Oryzias latipes: one gene and its partners. The protein of the gene in region 2 purifies or fractionates together with the protein of the main gene of each other region. This does not show direct contact. Links are inferred from orthologs where the notes say so. Each region holds a gene or a part of one and is shown on either strand. Other genes may lie near its edges.

Region 1 (4,985 bases), on a different chromosome or scaffold from region 2:
ATGTTTCTTTGACTGTAGTTATGCTACAATAGCAAACTCCTGCAAAAATAAAAATAAAAAATGTATTCAGAGGGGAACCATTAGCTATTCCACAATTTGATTCAAACCAAAGACTTTTTTACATTAAGTCAAGACAAATAAGTACTTTAAATAATTTAAAATAATGTGAGAAGCACAGATAGTGTAAGCCATGTTAATTACAAAAATAAAAGTAAATGTTAACGATTCTTCTTACCTGTTAGACCAACAAGTATCAGAAAACAATTGGAAAGAAAGATCATTTTACGCTGTGTCCAAATTCCCACTCTAAACCCTAACCATTTAAAAACGATATGAGTAGTGAAGGACTTCAGACAGAGTCACTGATGGTTAGAGACACGCAACAAAAACTGATGCAATGGATCTGTCCTTTAACTGAATTTCTACTTCCCCTTTTTTAAGCCAATAACTACATCTCTAAGCTGTTTCCAGCAATTATTTAAACAATGACAAATAAGATAAAGAGTGCCTGGCAATGGGAAAATGTTCTGCAGAACCGTTTAGATGTAAACCCACTTTTATTCAGGGTGATGTTCACTGTTGCTTTTTTGTTTATTATTGTTGAAGTTTATTTCCTAACGAATATTTCCGTAGTATTTTTCAGCAAGTACTAAGTTTTAAAACAAAAAAGTTTCTTTAATTTTGAAAACATTCTCTGACAGATCTCAAGTATGATTTACTTTTGCAGAAAAGAATTTTAGAAATTGCCAGTGAAGAACAACAACAAACAAAAAATTAAGAAAAACCTTGTCAAATAAGATTAATATGATTTTGTTTTCTACAATAGTGTGGCAATGATAAAGAGACACGTCTTGTCTTTTGAAGGTGAAGCTTTAGTTTAAAAAAGGCAAATCTAACAGACTGCAGCTGTTAAAATCAGTTAGATTATTATCTAAAATGTGAAGAAATGTTCTCATTTAAACTCATGTTAAAACCTTTGTCGTAATCATCCCAACACAGACATTTCAACTGAAATATTTATGCTGACTAATTGACTCAATTGAAAAAGTATTTTTTTTTAACAAAACAATGCTTTTTGGAAAATGAAATGCATTTAGAAATGCATCCTTCCTAACCATACATTTTTGAAAGTACCTAAATGTACCCTGCTGTCTTAACTTTTGTGTTTATTCTAACAAAGTCTCAGTAATAAAAAATAAAAAGAAATCCCCTTTTACCCCAAAATATTAATTATTATTTAAAAAAAATACCGGGATAAGCCCGCGTGCATGAGAAACAAGCTGGTTTGTTTCTTAAATCTTTCTTCTTTTTTGGGAGTTTGGTTCATAGATAGATTTATAATAAAAAACTTAAGATTCTTTAAAAAACAACATTGATTTGGGACAACAAGAATTTTGTGGAAAAATATTATGGTCAATCGTTCCCGCATTATTTTTCTTTTATTGATAAAAGTAAAACATGTTATTATTATCATTATTATTTCTTGTTTATATTTTCAATAAAGTTAAAATAAAAAAAACGATCGTCGCCTGTTGATGACGTTTTTCCAGAGGCAAATTTGTCTGCCCGAAATATAAAGCTATAAAGCCGAATGTTTCCTGTACAGATCGGGTAGCGACAGCGACAGTCAACTTTAACTAAACAGGTTATGGTTAAAGTTCAAACCCGACCATGAACTAGTCACACACATTCAGTGGACGCATGCGTATTTAGTCGAAAAGGCTACTTGTCTTCGATTATCATGGAGTACGGAAAGGAGAGGGTGGTGGCTTTGGTGGACATGGACTGCTTCTACGTCCAGGTGGAGCAGAGGCTGAATCCAGCTCTGCGGAACACCCCCTGTGTGGTGGCGCAGTACAAAACCTGGAAGGGTGGCGGGTGAGTTCCTGACAGACTACTGAGTTTGGAACCATCAGCATAGATCACAGACGCGGTCTTTCGTGCAGCATCTCTTGCATTCAGCCGTGAAAACAGGAAGTTAGTTACGTCTGCCTCTATTTAGTCCAGGCTGCTCATTTAAATCTGGTCTACTTAGGCGGGAAATGTGTGTGGCATTTACTGATATTACTACCACAAGTAGTAATAATGAATGTTTATTCAAAATACAAAACGTCTCTTACTCTGCTGCCAGACTTTAACGGTTGCTGGCTTTTTTTATTTTTATTATTATATCAGTATTATAGCTGTCAGCTATGAAGCCAGAGCCCACGGTGTAACCAGGAACATGTGGGTGGATGATGCAAAAAAGCTGTGCCCGGATCTGCAGGTGGCTCGAGTCCGTGAGTCTCACGGCAAAGCCGACCTAACCCAGTAAGTCGGAGTCCTTGAGGGTAACCCACCTCCTGTCTGATGAGCGAAGGCTACGTGTACGAGCGCCCTCCGTTTGCAGTTACAGGGATGCCAGCGTGGAGGTGATCGAGGTGATGTCTCGCTTTGCCGTGATCGAGCGAGCCAGCATCGATGAGGCCTACATGGACTTGACGGCTGCCGTCCAGCAGCGGCTGAAGACCACGACTGAGGAACAAATGAGCCCTTGCCTCCTGAAGACCACTTACATTCAGGGGTATCCTCAAAGTGGACTGGATCCTCCCTCCGCAGATGCATCTCCAGAAGAGATGATTTTATATAAAGGTAACTTCTGACCTAACTTTAGGATGTATTATTCCATTTCTTAAGATTGTTGGTTGTTTTTCTTTTTAGACCAGAGGTAATGAAGGGGTTCGATTGTATTTACTCATCATTTTTCCCTGCAGAGGAGCTGAGATCCAAAGGTCTTCAGCAGTGGATGGAATCCTTACCTACGCCCTCATCAGGGGAGCTGAATTGTGCAGAACTGCAGCTGACCATGGGAGCGCTCATTGTTGAGGAGATGAGGGCTGCAGTGGAGAAACAAACGGGTTTCCGTTGCTCCGCAGGAATATCTCACAACAAGGTAGAGCCAAATCTTTTTTTCTGCAAAATCAGTAGCAACAGTTTAAGGTTAGCTTTCTTTTTTCAGGTCCTGGCTAAGCTCGCCTGCGGTCTGAACAAACCCAACAGACAAACCGTCTTGCCTTTGGAATCTGTGACGGAGCTTTTCAACTCTTTGCCCATTGGCAAGATGTGAGTCTAAAGCTTCACTCCAATAAAAGCACAATAAAAGCAAATGGTGACGCTGCTCTTCTTGTTCAGTCGGAACCTGGGGGGTAAGATGGGGGCTTCGATAATTGAAACTCTGAAAGTGGAGAACATGGGAGATCTCACTCGCTTCTCTCAGTCCCAACTGGTGCAGCACTTTGGAGAAAAAACAGGGTAAGAAAGCCACTGTTGTGATATGTCTGACCAAGATCACTTTTTTTTTTTTTAGATATATGCCCCCCCCCCCCCCCCTCTTTTTATTGTATTTGCATCTCTCTGTTTGCAGCCGGTTAAGTGACGAGTAAGAACAATAATCTGCAATTTTGAAATGTTAGATGCTTTGTCTTTATGGATACAGTTGTTTTTTAATTCAAATGATTAGACCTTCAGAGTTGAAAGACTAATGGAGCAAAACAAATGACATGTCCTAAAATCCAAAAACTAAACCATAAGCACAAAAACTAAATGACAAGAAAATGACACAAGTTCAGATATAATAGATACATATGGCTGTCATTCATAGTCAAAAACAAAAGAAAAGGTGACTAAAATCTATGAAATGGGTCAATCACACCTTCTGGATCTCTGTTTGCAGCCAGTGGCTTTATGACTTGTGCCGAGGGGTCGAGTCTGAAGCTGTTAAGCCCAGGCAGCTTCCCAAGTCTATTGGCTGCAGTAAAAACTTCCCTGGAAAGACGTCTCTAGCCACTAAAGAACAGGTAGAGCCGCATTTATTGCATGTTCCATCTCGTTGTCTGAAATTTGTCCCCTTCAATGCAACAATGAATGATCTGTGTAGGTACAGTACTGGCTTCATCAGCTGGCCCTGGAACTGGAAGAAAGGCTGAACAAAGACAAAGAAACGGTGAGCCTTTAGTTTTGTTTAGTGTATTTCTGATGACGTTCTAGTTGTGAAAGCTTATTATTTTTGTTCCTTTGCTCATAGAATGGTCGAGTGGCTAAGTTGTTGACGGTTGGTGTGCGTCAGCTTGGTGATAAGAGGCCCAGCAGCTTCTCTCGATGCTGCGCTTTGGTGCACTATGAGGCAGCCAAACTATCTAGTGACAGCTTTGCCATTATCAAGAGCCTCAACACAGCAGGAAACCACCAGGCTGCATGGTAATTTGGGGGGAGCAATGCAGTGGGACAATAAAACTGCAGGTTGATTTATTTAATAAGTGTGTCTTGTGTCTCCAGGACTCCACCGCTCACCTTGCTGCACCTCTCTGCTAGCAAGTTCAGCGACGCGCCGTCGTCCGGGGGGATTGCCGGCTTTCTCTCAGCCGGCGTCGCTCCAGGCCGGAGCGTTTCCGCCACCTCTAAAGTCTCAACTCCGCAGGCCTCTGAGCTGAAACAAGACTCTGCATGTAAACAGCGCGGGAGCATTCAGGCCTTCTTTCAAAAGGCACCAGTGAAACAGAAAGGGGTTAGGATGGATGTAGAGGAGGAAATTCCTCCACTTTCTGGTACTAGTCCAACATGTACTGATGACAGTCAGCTGCAGACAGCGGCCTGCTCCTCAGAGAGTTTGCCTCAGTCGAAGCTCAGTTCAGGCTTCTGTTCTTTTTTTCATAAAAAGACTCTGGAAAAAAGCAAACACGAACCCCAAAATAATCCTGGATCCTCTGAAAACAATGAAAGTAAAGCAGCTGAGACTGCTGGAGCAGAGCCACAATCAAAGCGTAGCTCAGAGCTCACACCACATCATCAACCACATGCAGAAGATTCTGATCCAGAATCAAATTGTAACCGTACAAGCGTGGCTGCAGAGGATCTATTGAAGTGCGATCGTTGCGGTCAGGAAGTCCTGGTCTGGGAAATGCCCGAACACAACGACTACCACTTTGCCCTGGACCTCCAGAATTCCA
Region 2 (5,187 bases):
GAGTATTCCTTCCGGGTTTCAGCATCTGGGTCTGCCACAGTCTCGTCAGCCATGACAATGCACCCGGCGGTCTTTGCTCACCACTACAGAGGAGATTCTAGTCGATTTATTTCCTTCAGCATAATAATATGCTTCAATTCAACAGGTCGGCCTCCAAACAACAACAAAAAAGATAAGTGGTCCTGCCAAAAAAAGGTGGAAGTAGTGTGAAGTTTAATTTTACCATTGATTTTAAATAGACTACATGATCAGCCTTAACGTCCACTATTCTGAGAGTAAACTCACTCAGCTCTTCCTAAAATGTTTTCTATAAATTCTCCTTTGTTAGCTGACAGTACTAATTTACATGTAGAAAGTCAAATCCTTGTTTTCCAGCTCTGTTAGTGCAATAATAGCACAGCAGTGAGCCAGCATCTGATCCTTTCCAATATGGCGGCCAAATTTGTGTATGTAAGCTAGTGTAGCGAATCTAGTCTATATAACTCAGTTGTCCTGCATCACATAAGCCGCGGTTACATGGGCAAAATATCTTGATCGGATCAATGGTCGGGTTAAAATTCACCCGTGCACATGGGCACAGAAAACCTTTTTCCGATTAGAACAAACGTTCCCATGGCTCACACTTTCGGTCGGAATGAATAATTTGGGCATGCGCAGTAGTGTAAAAAATCCCGGATGAGGAAATAGGTCCCATAGTAAACAAATCGCTGCCACAGACATTTATTTTGTGCAGCAGCTCGGTAATATGCGAGACGATCTTCAAAACGTGCTTTTATTAATGTTATGAATGTTATGAAGCGCCTGTTCGCTTATCTTTTTATTTAATCCGTGTGGTCAGTGCTTTTTTTGTCGAAGAACGGAGCTGGAAGAAGCCAGTGTTAGGAGAGGCTAACACGGGCTAACAACATTAGCCTTGATGGACACAAAAGCCAGGACCATACGGGAAACGCTGCAATCTGCATCTTGGCTGCACGTAAATGTGTGGGAATAACATCAGCCTTTATTTAGTCGGGACACAACTGGAAACACAAAAAAAAAAGCGGGGCTAGAGTGGAGTGGCGCTTTTCACAGGGCGTCCGCAGAGCAGCTGGTCGGTCCCCTATGAGCTCCTAAGCTTTCTCTCAGCAAAACACCATCTATGCATGACGTAAACCAGAGCAGTAGTGACACACGATCGGAATGACCGTTTACATGATCAACGATCGAATAAACGATCGGCCTAACCCACCTATCTCGATCGAAGAGAAATTTTGATCCGAACGAGTCTGATTGGGGCACACTATTCCGAACGGCGCGTTTACATGACGCATTTTCCTTCCGATCAGGCGTTCTTTCCGATTACTTTTGCCCATGTAAACGCAGCTATAGACAAGTGACCTTTTTTTCCGTCTGCTCCTCATTCACACCGATTTGAATAAAGAAACACTCAGAAATGCAATTTTAAGCTTAGTTTTCTCTAAATGTCCCTCACCATGAGAAAAAATGGCACAAGAACACGTTAAAAACACCAAAAACAGGATTTTAATCGGAATGGGTCTTTAAGGTAACGGGGGTTGGGGGATCTGTTGATTATTTCCCCAGCATACTTTAAGAATGATACTTGGTTGAAAAAAAAGGTTAATTTTTATAAATGGTGTGTAAAACTTGTGTTTTTGATAAAATTAAACTTCATAAATGAAATTAACCCTTAGCACTTTAACATTGGGAGTTGGGTCATCTGGACCCACTAGACAGTGCACTAAACCTTTTTTTCTTTTTTCGATCCTCACTGGTGTCCATGGATTACATGAAATCTTTCCACCTTTATCCACCTTTGTCATGGTAGGGAGAACACGTCAATGTAAGGGTGGGGTCATCTAAGATAGCACAAGGGTTTAATAAAATACTGATCAATGCGACTCTTTTTTATGTCGAGACCTGAAACCGGACGGCCCTGAACGCACCGCGGAAGTTCCGCTGTGACGTCAATGTCGATCTTTAGAGCGGGACTGCAGAGTAGAAACAAACGCCTTTAGCTAATTTCAACATAAACAGACTCGACAAATGAACGTTAGTTCTGAAGTATGGCCCATCACATCGAAGCGGATCTACCAGCAAGTCTTGCATGTTTGAAAGTAAGATATCGCTTCTGTTGTGGTGCTTAAAATAAACCGGGTTTGTTAGATGCTGACTAGCTGCAAGAACAAGCTAGAGGCATTGACTTGCCGTTGGATAAACGAAGTTTATACAACACTGGTTCAAAAACCCACTCATTCACTGTCATTTTAGCAGCAGATTCAAGGAAAAATAGACTTTTCGGTGCTTGATAGTAGTTAGTAAGGTCAACTGTGGTTCTAATGCAGTAACGCCAACAACAATTCATATTACGCAAACACAGAGGGCTTATTTATTTGTGTACGTATATTGTTTTACAAAAGTTTGTACACTGTAATCCAAATTTTTAAACCCGCTTGATCCTGCCCGGGATGTTGGAGATTGGCGCTTGAGGTGAGGATGGAGCGAACTTGAAGAAGAGGGTTGTCATCCAGTTTTTGAGTCTGCTTGTGCTTCTCTCCAGCCAAAACCCAGCAGGAGCCTTAAAACATCAGCCCACCTTTTGTTAGTATTTGTATTTATTAGGGCTGTAATGATTTATTTGAACGATTCAATTCATATCATAATTTGTGGTTGCTGATCTGATCCATAGTTGTTATTGGTTCATTTTGAACGATTCACTGACCTAATAGATCCAGAACTAAACTTCAACCAGTCAGTGTGACTCAGAGACAAATACCTGGTACTGAGTTTTATTTAATTTTGAAACAGTTTTAGGACAGCATAGGTTGATTCCATTAGGAACTCGTCTCAGACAGATCCATCTGTTTGGATTGTAGAATTATAGATCAATAAGGTGGATTAATCGTTACAACCCTATAGTATTTCTGTTTTTGTAACCATTACGGTTTGAGTAAACTAACGACAGGCCAGGTGTTGTGTGGAATCATGGTGTTAAAAAAAGAAGAATTTCTGTTTTTTGACTGCAGCAAATACGTTTTTTAAAATAAAAGTACATCGGCCAAGTCAGATCATCTTCCTGCAACCTAGTTGCTTGAATTGAAAATGTAAATAAGGCAAGCCAAAGATATTTTCTGTTGATACGACTCATTTTCTCTTAATTTACGGCAGTTACCCTCATAACTGAGTGAATGCAGATGTTTAGAATCCAGTATAAAAATATAAGGTTGTTGAGCTTTTGCAGATAAACATCATTAGCACTTTCCTTCAGAACAGCAACTATTGTTGCATTGTTACTTAAGGATATAAAAAAATCTTACCAAAGAATAAAATGAATGGTTATAAAATATCCCTTAATTATTTTAACTATTATAATTTGTGTATTAGACATCAGTTTGAACTTTTTGGTTAATACAGTACAAGTAAGATACAACTAGGCAAGGAAAAATGCTATTATATGAAAAGGAGGGTTACACAGTCTGTTGAGATATAAATTATTCAGGAAAGACCTAAAAAAGCTCATGCAAAAAACAATTTGTTGGTATTTTAAAATTGTGGCATTTAGTATGAGTTTGTAAAGATTATTGTTGTGTATGCAATAATTTTAATACTCTTAAAAGCTCGGAAAGGCAGCCTGAATTTATGAATAAGCTAGGAAAAAATGGGATTGTTATTTGAAAATATACTGATATTTTTCCAGAAGGATGGTCATTTTTATCTTAGAGGTTCCCGCCCATAATTTATCCACATATAGTAGTATATCTCATTACATATCCTACATAAAAGCCTGTTTTTCTTTTTAATCTAGAATGAAATCCAGTTTTCATTGCCACTTAAAAATTGGACACAAAGTCACAGAGGCTTCAGGGATATTTCAGGCCTGCTGCTGTTAAATGTACCTCAGATCACAATCATTTTTTAAGAAAACCTTCCAGGAAAACTTGCTTTGGAATTTTGAATTGGTTTTCCTGAATAACGAGAGATATTGGCTCTTTAAAACATAAGGAAAATAACTATAACTGCACATGTTTTCACTGATTTTACAGTCTCGAGTTAGGGGTTGGTAGTTCAACCACAACTGCTGAATATGTTTTGAATCCGATTATTGAGGACTTTTGGGATGTCTCTGAAGGATTGACTGAATTCACTGACAGAGCAAATGAAGTGAAATTTCTTTACAGAACATCCACATTATATAGGAAGTATTAGCCAACCATTTTAACTTAAAAGACTGAGAACTTACCTCAAAGACTGTCTGCAAGCAAAGCAGTCCTGCAACACGGACTCAGCCAAACCTCATATTTACTGTTTTAGAGTGTACTCTTTCATGTTTTACTATGGCTTTGAGTTACCTGCCTGGGGACTGATGATTAAAAAAAACTCTAGTACTTCATGTTGATCAAACAACTCACTGACAAATATAGGATTTGTTCAAACCAAGTCTTTGAAAAGCCTCCTTCTGGTCATTTATACTAACTTCTAAATTGCAGCGAGTGTGGAGAGGAGCTACAAGGTTACTAGAAAGGTTTACAAATGGAGCATCTTTGAAAGTTCAGACTCTATGGTGCTGGTTAATACTTTGCCTTATTTTGTGATCAAACGTTGGATGTTCCCTTTCTCTAAGCTCTTAATGGATTGGACATTTCCATCACTAAGTAGTGGGACAGACTTCCTCCTAAGTATATCGTTTCAATCTGAGCATTGAAACATTTTAAAACATGATAAAATGATCTGCAGGCACAGAATTTGTGATACACAAGGAGCGTCTGGCTGTTAGCTGAAACTATCCGACTGCTGTGATGCCTTAAGGAAGGGAGTTTGAACATCAAGGACACTGCATCAGCATATTCACACCAGCTTTTCGATTTTGGGACTTTTGGGTTTACAGTTAACACAGACATATTTGGTAGCCTCGCTCATTATGTGATTCAAGAAATCCAACCACTTTCACATGTCTGCCCAAAACTCTGCTAAACTCACAGCCAAGTTTCCTCAACTTTATTCCATTTATTACAGGCCTGTCAAGACGCAGCATTTTCAGATTTCTTTGGAGTGGAATAAAATGGCCCTTTTGGCCAAAGAATAGTTTAATAATTTGAACTACATTCTGTCTTTCAAGATTAAAGATGAAGTTGTATGGTTTCTTTCCTATTTTTTTATTTCTTTTACAAAAGCAGAGTCTGTTGCTCATGT
Region 3 (4,906 bases), on a different chromosome or scaffold from region 2:
AAAATAACACGTAGTTTTCAGAAATTTATTTTACTTTCATTCAAATTAATTCAAATAAGTAGGTGTAACTTTGATGCTGCTGTTAGATCGGCACCGCAAGGGATTCTGGGATACCATTCCCTTAGCCTGTCTGGACGGATTTGGGTTCAAGTGTGGCTTTTTGACCAAATGTGTTTAGTTGTTTAGCTGTTTTACTGTGTTTTGTCTAGTTATTTTGTCCTATGTTTAATTCTTTCTGCACCATGAGTGAGAGGGAGGGAGAGGAGGATGAGTTTATATAGCACCACTAGTGCAACAGTACTGAATAAGAATTGAAGTCACAGTCAGTCATAATAATAAAATACATGATATATATTATAAATCCAAACTAGATTATTCATTTTATTGTTATAAATATGAGAATATCTGCAGGCTCAAATATAGACATCTGAGAGTTCAAGAAGTACAATAAATGAAGATGGAAAAACATTTAATTGAATTGGAGTAAAATGACATTTAGTTAGATAAATATGTAAATTTCTGTTGTATAAACACGGAGTTGGATAGACGTAAGAAATTAGGTTGAATAAATTTAACCCAATTACTTGTTACCAATTGAATGAATTTAAGTTTTATAAGTTACATATATTTATGCGTCACAATGAAAATAGAAATAAGATCAGAAACTCGTGCGTTTACTTTGTCTGTTCTTTTTCTCCACACGTTTCCATGGTGACTCCTTAAATCGGCGATCCATTGAGAATGTCTTTATGTACCTGCTGTGCACGTGCGTTAACCCAGGGTTACCAAGTGGAGCGTAATGACGCCAACTCATATCCGGTCTCTTGGAACCGACATACCCAGAGTAAGCAAGTTCAGGAGGATTTCAGCCAGAGTTCAGGCTTAAAGTCAGAGGAGTTTAAACGGGCCTTCTGGAATACCCCCCTGGTCCAGAGGTCAAGCTTCAGACCAGATGACAAAAAAACGGCTCCGCTTAATCTGAACATTAATACTTTAGCCAAAAAATGTAACGAAAGTGACTCAAGTGTACTTAGTAATAGCAGAAGTAATCTATTACTGCCATGAGTCTGACGTAAGATCCTTTAGTCTGAACCAGACATGGAGAATTTCTGCTTTAGGACAACGTAGACCCACCCGGCCTGACTTTAGGAACCATCAGCCTTAAGTTTACGGCTCTCTACTACTTCCTGTCTGGGACTTAAAAACTGAAGAGGAGGAGAACTTCACCCACTGAGGAGAACCCTCACCCACTGAGGAGAACCTTCTCCCACTGAGGAGAACCCTCACCCACTGAGGAGAGCCTTCTACCACTGAGGAGAACCTTCACCATCTGAGGAGAACCTTCACCCACTGAGGAGAACCTTCTCACACTGAGGAGAACCCTCACCCACTGAGGAGAACCTTCTCCCACTGAGGAGAACCCTCACCCACTGAGGAGAACCTTCACCATCTGAGGAGAACCTTCACCATCTGAGGAGAACCTTCACCATCTGAGGAGAACCCTCACGCACTGAAGAGAACCTTCACCCACTGAGGAGAACCTTCACCCACTGAGGAGAACCTTCTACCACTGAGGAGAACCTTCACCATCTGAGGAGAACCCTCACGCACTGAGGAGAACCTTCACCCACTGAGGAGAACCCTCACCCACTGAGGAGAACCTTCACCATCTGAGGAGAACCCTCACGCACTGAGGAGAACCTTCTACCACTGAGGAGAACCTTCACCATCTGAGGAGAACCCTCACGCACTGAGGAGAACCTTCACCCACTGAGGAAAACCCTCACCCACTGAGGAGAACCTTCTACCACTGAGGAGAACCTTCACCCACTGAGGAGAACCTCATCCCACTGAGGAAAACCCTCACCCACTGAGGAGAACCTTCTACCACTGAGGAGAACCTTCACCATCTGAGGAGAACCCTCACCCACTGAGGAGAACCTTCTACCACTGAGGAGAACCTTCACCATCTGAGGAGAACCCTCACGCACTGAGGAGAACCTTCACCCACTGAGGAAAACCCTCACCCACTGAGGAGAACCTTCTACCACTGAGGAGAACCTTCACCCACTGAGGAGAACCTTCACCCACTGAGGAGAACCCTCACGCACTGAGGAGAACCTTCACCCACTGAGGAAAACCCTCACCCACTGAGGAGAACCTTCTACCACTGAGGAGAACCTTCACCATCTGAGGAGAACCCTCACGCACTGAGGAGAACCTCATCCCACTGAGGAAAACCCTCACCCACTGAGGAGAACCTTCACCATCTGAGGAGAACCCTCACCCACTGAGGAGAACCTTCACCCACTGAGGAGAACCCTCACCCACTGAGGAGAACCTTCACCCACTGATGCGGACTCAACCACGCTACTGTCTGAAAATGTCAGGAAGAAGAAGAGCCTCTGGTCCTCTGAGGATCACCTCTGAAGGAGTTCTTGCCGCTCCTCACTGCTCCTCCTTTACCCAGCATGCATTTCCAAACTCCTTCAGGGTTCCTGCTTCTTTGGACTCTCGCTGTGGCTGTTTGGTTCTCCTCCAAACACACGGAGCTTACAGCACCTCCTCCGTTTGGTTCTCCTCCTCTCTGTGGAAAGTCCCCCTGCGTTCCCACTGAAGTGAACTGTACCAGAGTACCAACCATACCAAACCTGGATCAGACCAGTACAAAGCCTGGATCAGACCTGGATCAGACCAGGACCAGACCTGCCAGAGGGGATGCTTACCAAGATTTGGTTCTGAGCATGAAGGAGGGAGAACAGAGCGACCTGGACTGCTGCAGAAGAACAGAGAGGTGGGGAACCTGTTCCAGGTGTTCAGGTGGACCTGTTCCAGGTGTGCAGGTGGACCTGTTCCAGGTGTTCAGGTGGACCTGTTCCAGGTGTGCAGGTGGACCTGTTCCAGGTGTTCAGGTGGACCTGTTCCAGGTGTGCAGGTGGACCTGTTCCAGGTGTGCAGGTGGACCTGTTCCAGGTGTTCAGGTGGACCTGTTCCAGGTGTGCAGGTGGACCTGTTCCAGGTGTTGTCACAGAGAAGGTTCGTTATGATTTTACCTCAGCAACCCTCTGCTCTTGTGGTGTCTCGAGCTGCTCTGTGATTGGCTGATAAAGATGCGCCTCACGCTACATTCCCATCAGAAGAACCCGCCACACAACCGGAACATCCTGCGTTTATGAGCGCGCGTGCTTCCCGCGCATTCCCTTAATAAACTTCAAATGTTGACAGGAATCATTCGGTCTGAGGGAAACGGAGCCGCAGACACAAAAAGAAAGAATTTCACGTCTGGAGAAAAGAGCTTCGGTACCGTCAGAACCTGCGGGGATTAGAGCGGAACCGGAAGCAGCTTCATGTTGACGAAAGGCCACACAAACAACAACAAAAACAAACAAAACGAAGCATTCAAGCAGCAACAGCAACGATCGCCATTTTTGTTTAAAGGAAGTGACGTAGCGGAAGTCAGATCTCACTTAAAGTCCATCCGTTTGTAAATTAAATCAGTCAACAGTCCACAGGATCAAAAAGCTGGTTTTGATTTTATAAAATAAAAAATATGGTTGATTTGGTACAAAGTTGGTGGTTTGATTTGACGCCCAAACGCAGAGAAACTGTTGATTTATGATCACATTAAAATAATGAAAATGAAAGGAGTTTGTTAAAATAAAAACACCAAATAAACTGATATTATGTGTGGTCTATTGTTAGACAATCTGTTTTTAAACTTTTTGTCAAGTCTGGCCAAAAACCATTTTCCTTTTTACATCTAGGTGAGTTTTAGTTTAGTCCCAGGTGAGATAGTTTCATCACTTTACGTTTTTGAATTTCCTTTTTTTATCTGTTTCTTCATTAGTGGTCTACTGATTATTATTGAACTATAATTGGATTCATATCATGATTTGTGGTCCCTTCTGGGCCACCGTACAGATTTGATTCCAAGTGAATTTTGGTTCATTCTGAACAATCCGATTGGATCCGATTTTCTGACCTGAAGTGGATCCAGATCATCTTCATCCCAAACTTTTCCAGATCCTTGGATTTCTTCAGGATAATCAAGTGTAAACGATTAACACACAACTGTGATTACACTTAATTTACATGTTTTTATGTTATAGTAAATAGATAAATGAAAGTAAATCTCAGACGGATCAATCTGGTTGGATTGGAATATTATAAAAAGTGACATAAAGGAGGCATCATGAAAAACTGCCTTATTCAACTGTGTCAACTTTGAAAAGAAATTATAATTACCACACATATTAACATGTGTTTTTGTTTTCTTGTCTTAAATTTAAAAAATCAGATGTATCTAAAATATTTTACATTTTATGAATCATATCTATTTATTCATGTATATAGATAAATGTTAACATTCAAGTAGGAAATAACCAAATAGTCTTATCCTATTCTATTGTAATTTTGTTATAAAGGCTGTGATATACTAATGACTATATTACTGTATTATTACTCTGATAAATATCTGTTTAAATACAATCGAGTTGTTGAAATAATTTATATCATTTGTTTCTTTTCTGAATCTTTAGTTTAAATCCAGATGGAACGATGACGTTGCAGTTCCAGACATGTGCACATGGGGGCAGCAGATTCCTTCCCTCGTTGTCTGATGGGGGAGTAGGGGGGGTCCCGTGTTTTTTCTTCTAAGGAGGGGGGTGTAATCGTGTTATTTTGTCCCGCTTTGGTTCTCATTTTTCTGGACTTTCTTTACTTCTCAGACTTGAAGACATTTTTCTGTTTCAGAGCTCTGATCCACTTTTCCTGTCAGAAGAAAATCCAAAGTGTTTCCGTTATAGATGCGTCACTGCCCACCCCCCACCCCCACACGTGTGCGAAGCGCGACTCCGAATCAGGGACACTGCAGCGAATGTGACCCGCTTCAGGATGCAGTGAGGAA

What was found. The genes of interacting proteins can lie anywhere in the genome.
Region 1: the proteins of rad18 (region 2) and polh purify together in Homo sapiens (affinity purification with western blotting; 7 studies listed by BioGRID, with this or other methods). This does not show direct contact. The link is inferred for Oryzias latipes from reciprocal best matches to the Homo sapiens genes RAD18 and POLH.
Region 3: the proteins of rad18 (region 2) and shprh purify together in Homo sapiens (affinity purification with western blotting; 3 studies listed by BioGRID and IntAct, with this or other methods). This does not show direct contact. The link is inferred for Oryzias latipes from reciprocal best matches to the Homo sapiens genes RAD18 and SHPRH.

The regions. Positions count from the first base shown.
Region 1 is NC_019873.2:20,691,317-20,696,301, reverse strand, and holds the start of polh (DNA polymerase eta), read left to right. Parts: upstream 1-1,533; 5' UTR 1,534-1,741; coding exon 1,742-1,878; intron 1,879-2,175; coding exon 2,176-2,310; intron 2,311-2,389; coding exon 2,390-2,631; intron 2,632-2,753; coding exon 2,754-2,932; intron 2,933-2,998; coding exon 2,999-3,102; intron 3,103-3,171; coding exon 3,172-3,291; intron 3,292-3,712; coding exon 3,713-3,836; intron 3,837-3,916; coding exon 3,917-3,982; intron 3,983-4,063; coding exon 4,064-4,236; intron 4,237-4,314; coding exon 4,315-4,985. Other genes in the region: uncharacterized protein LOC105355791, read right to left, coding at 1-39, 236-281. UniProt on the Homo sapiens protein: DNA polymerase specifically involved in the DNA repair by translesion synthesis (TLS). Due to low processivity on both damaged and normal DNA, cooperates with the heterotetrameric (REV3L, REV7, POLD2 and POLD3) POLZ complex for complete bypass of DNA lesions.
Region 2 is NC_019863.2:2,755,477-2,760,663, forward strand, and holds the start of rad18 (E3 ubiquitin-protein ligase RAD18), read left to right. Parts: upstream 1-1,950; 5' UTR 1,951-2,063; coding exon 2,064-2,114; intron 2,115-5,187. UniProt on the Homo sapiens protein: E3 ubiquitin-protein ligase involved in postreplication repair of UV-damaged DNA. Postreplication repair functions in gap-filling of a daughter strand on replication of damaged DNA.
Region 3 is NC_019880.2:661,052-665,957, reverse strand, and holds the start of shprh (E3 ubiquitin-protein ligase SHPRH), read right to left. Parts: upstream 3,453-4,906; 5' UTR 2,727-3,452; intron 2,624-2,726; 5' UTR 2,425-2,623; intron 1-2,424. UniProt on the Homo sapiens protein: E3 ubiquitin-protein ligase involved in DNA repair.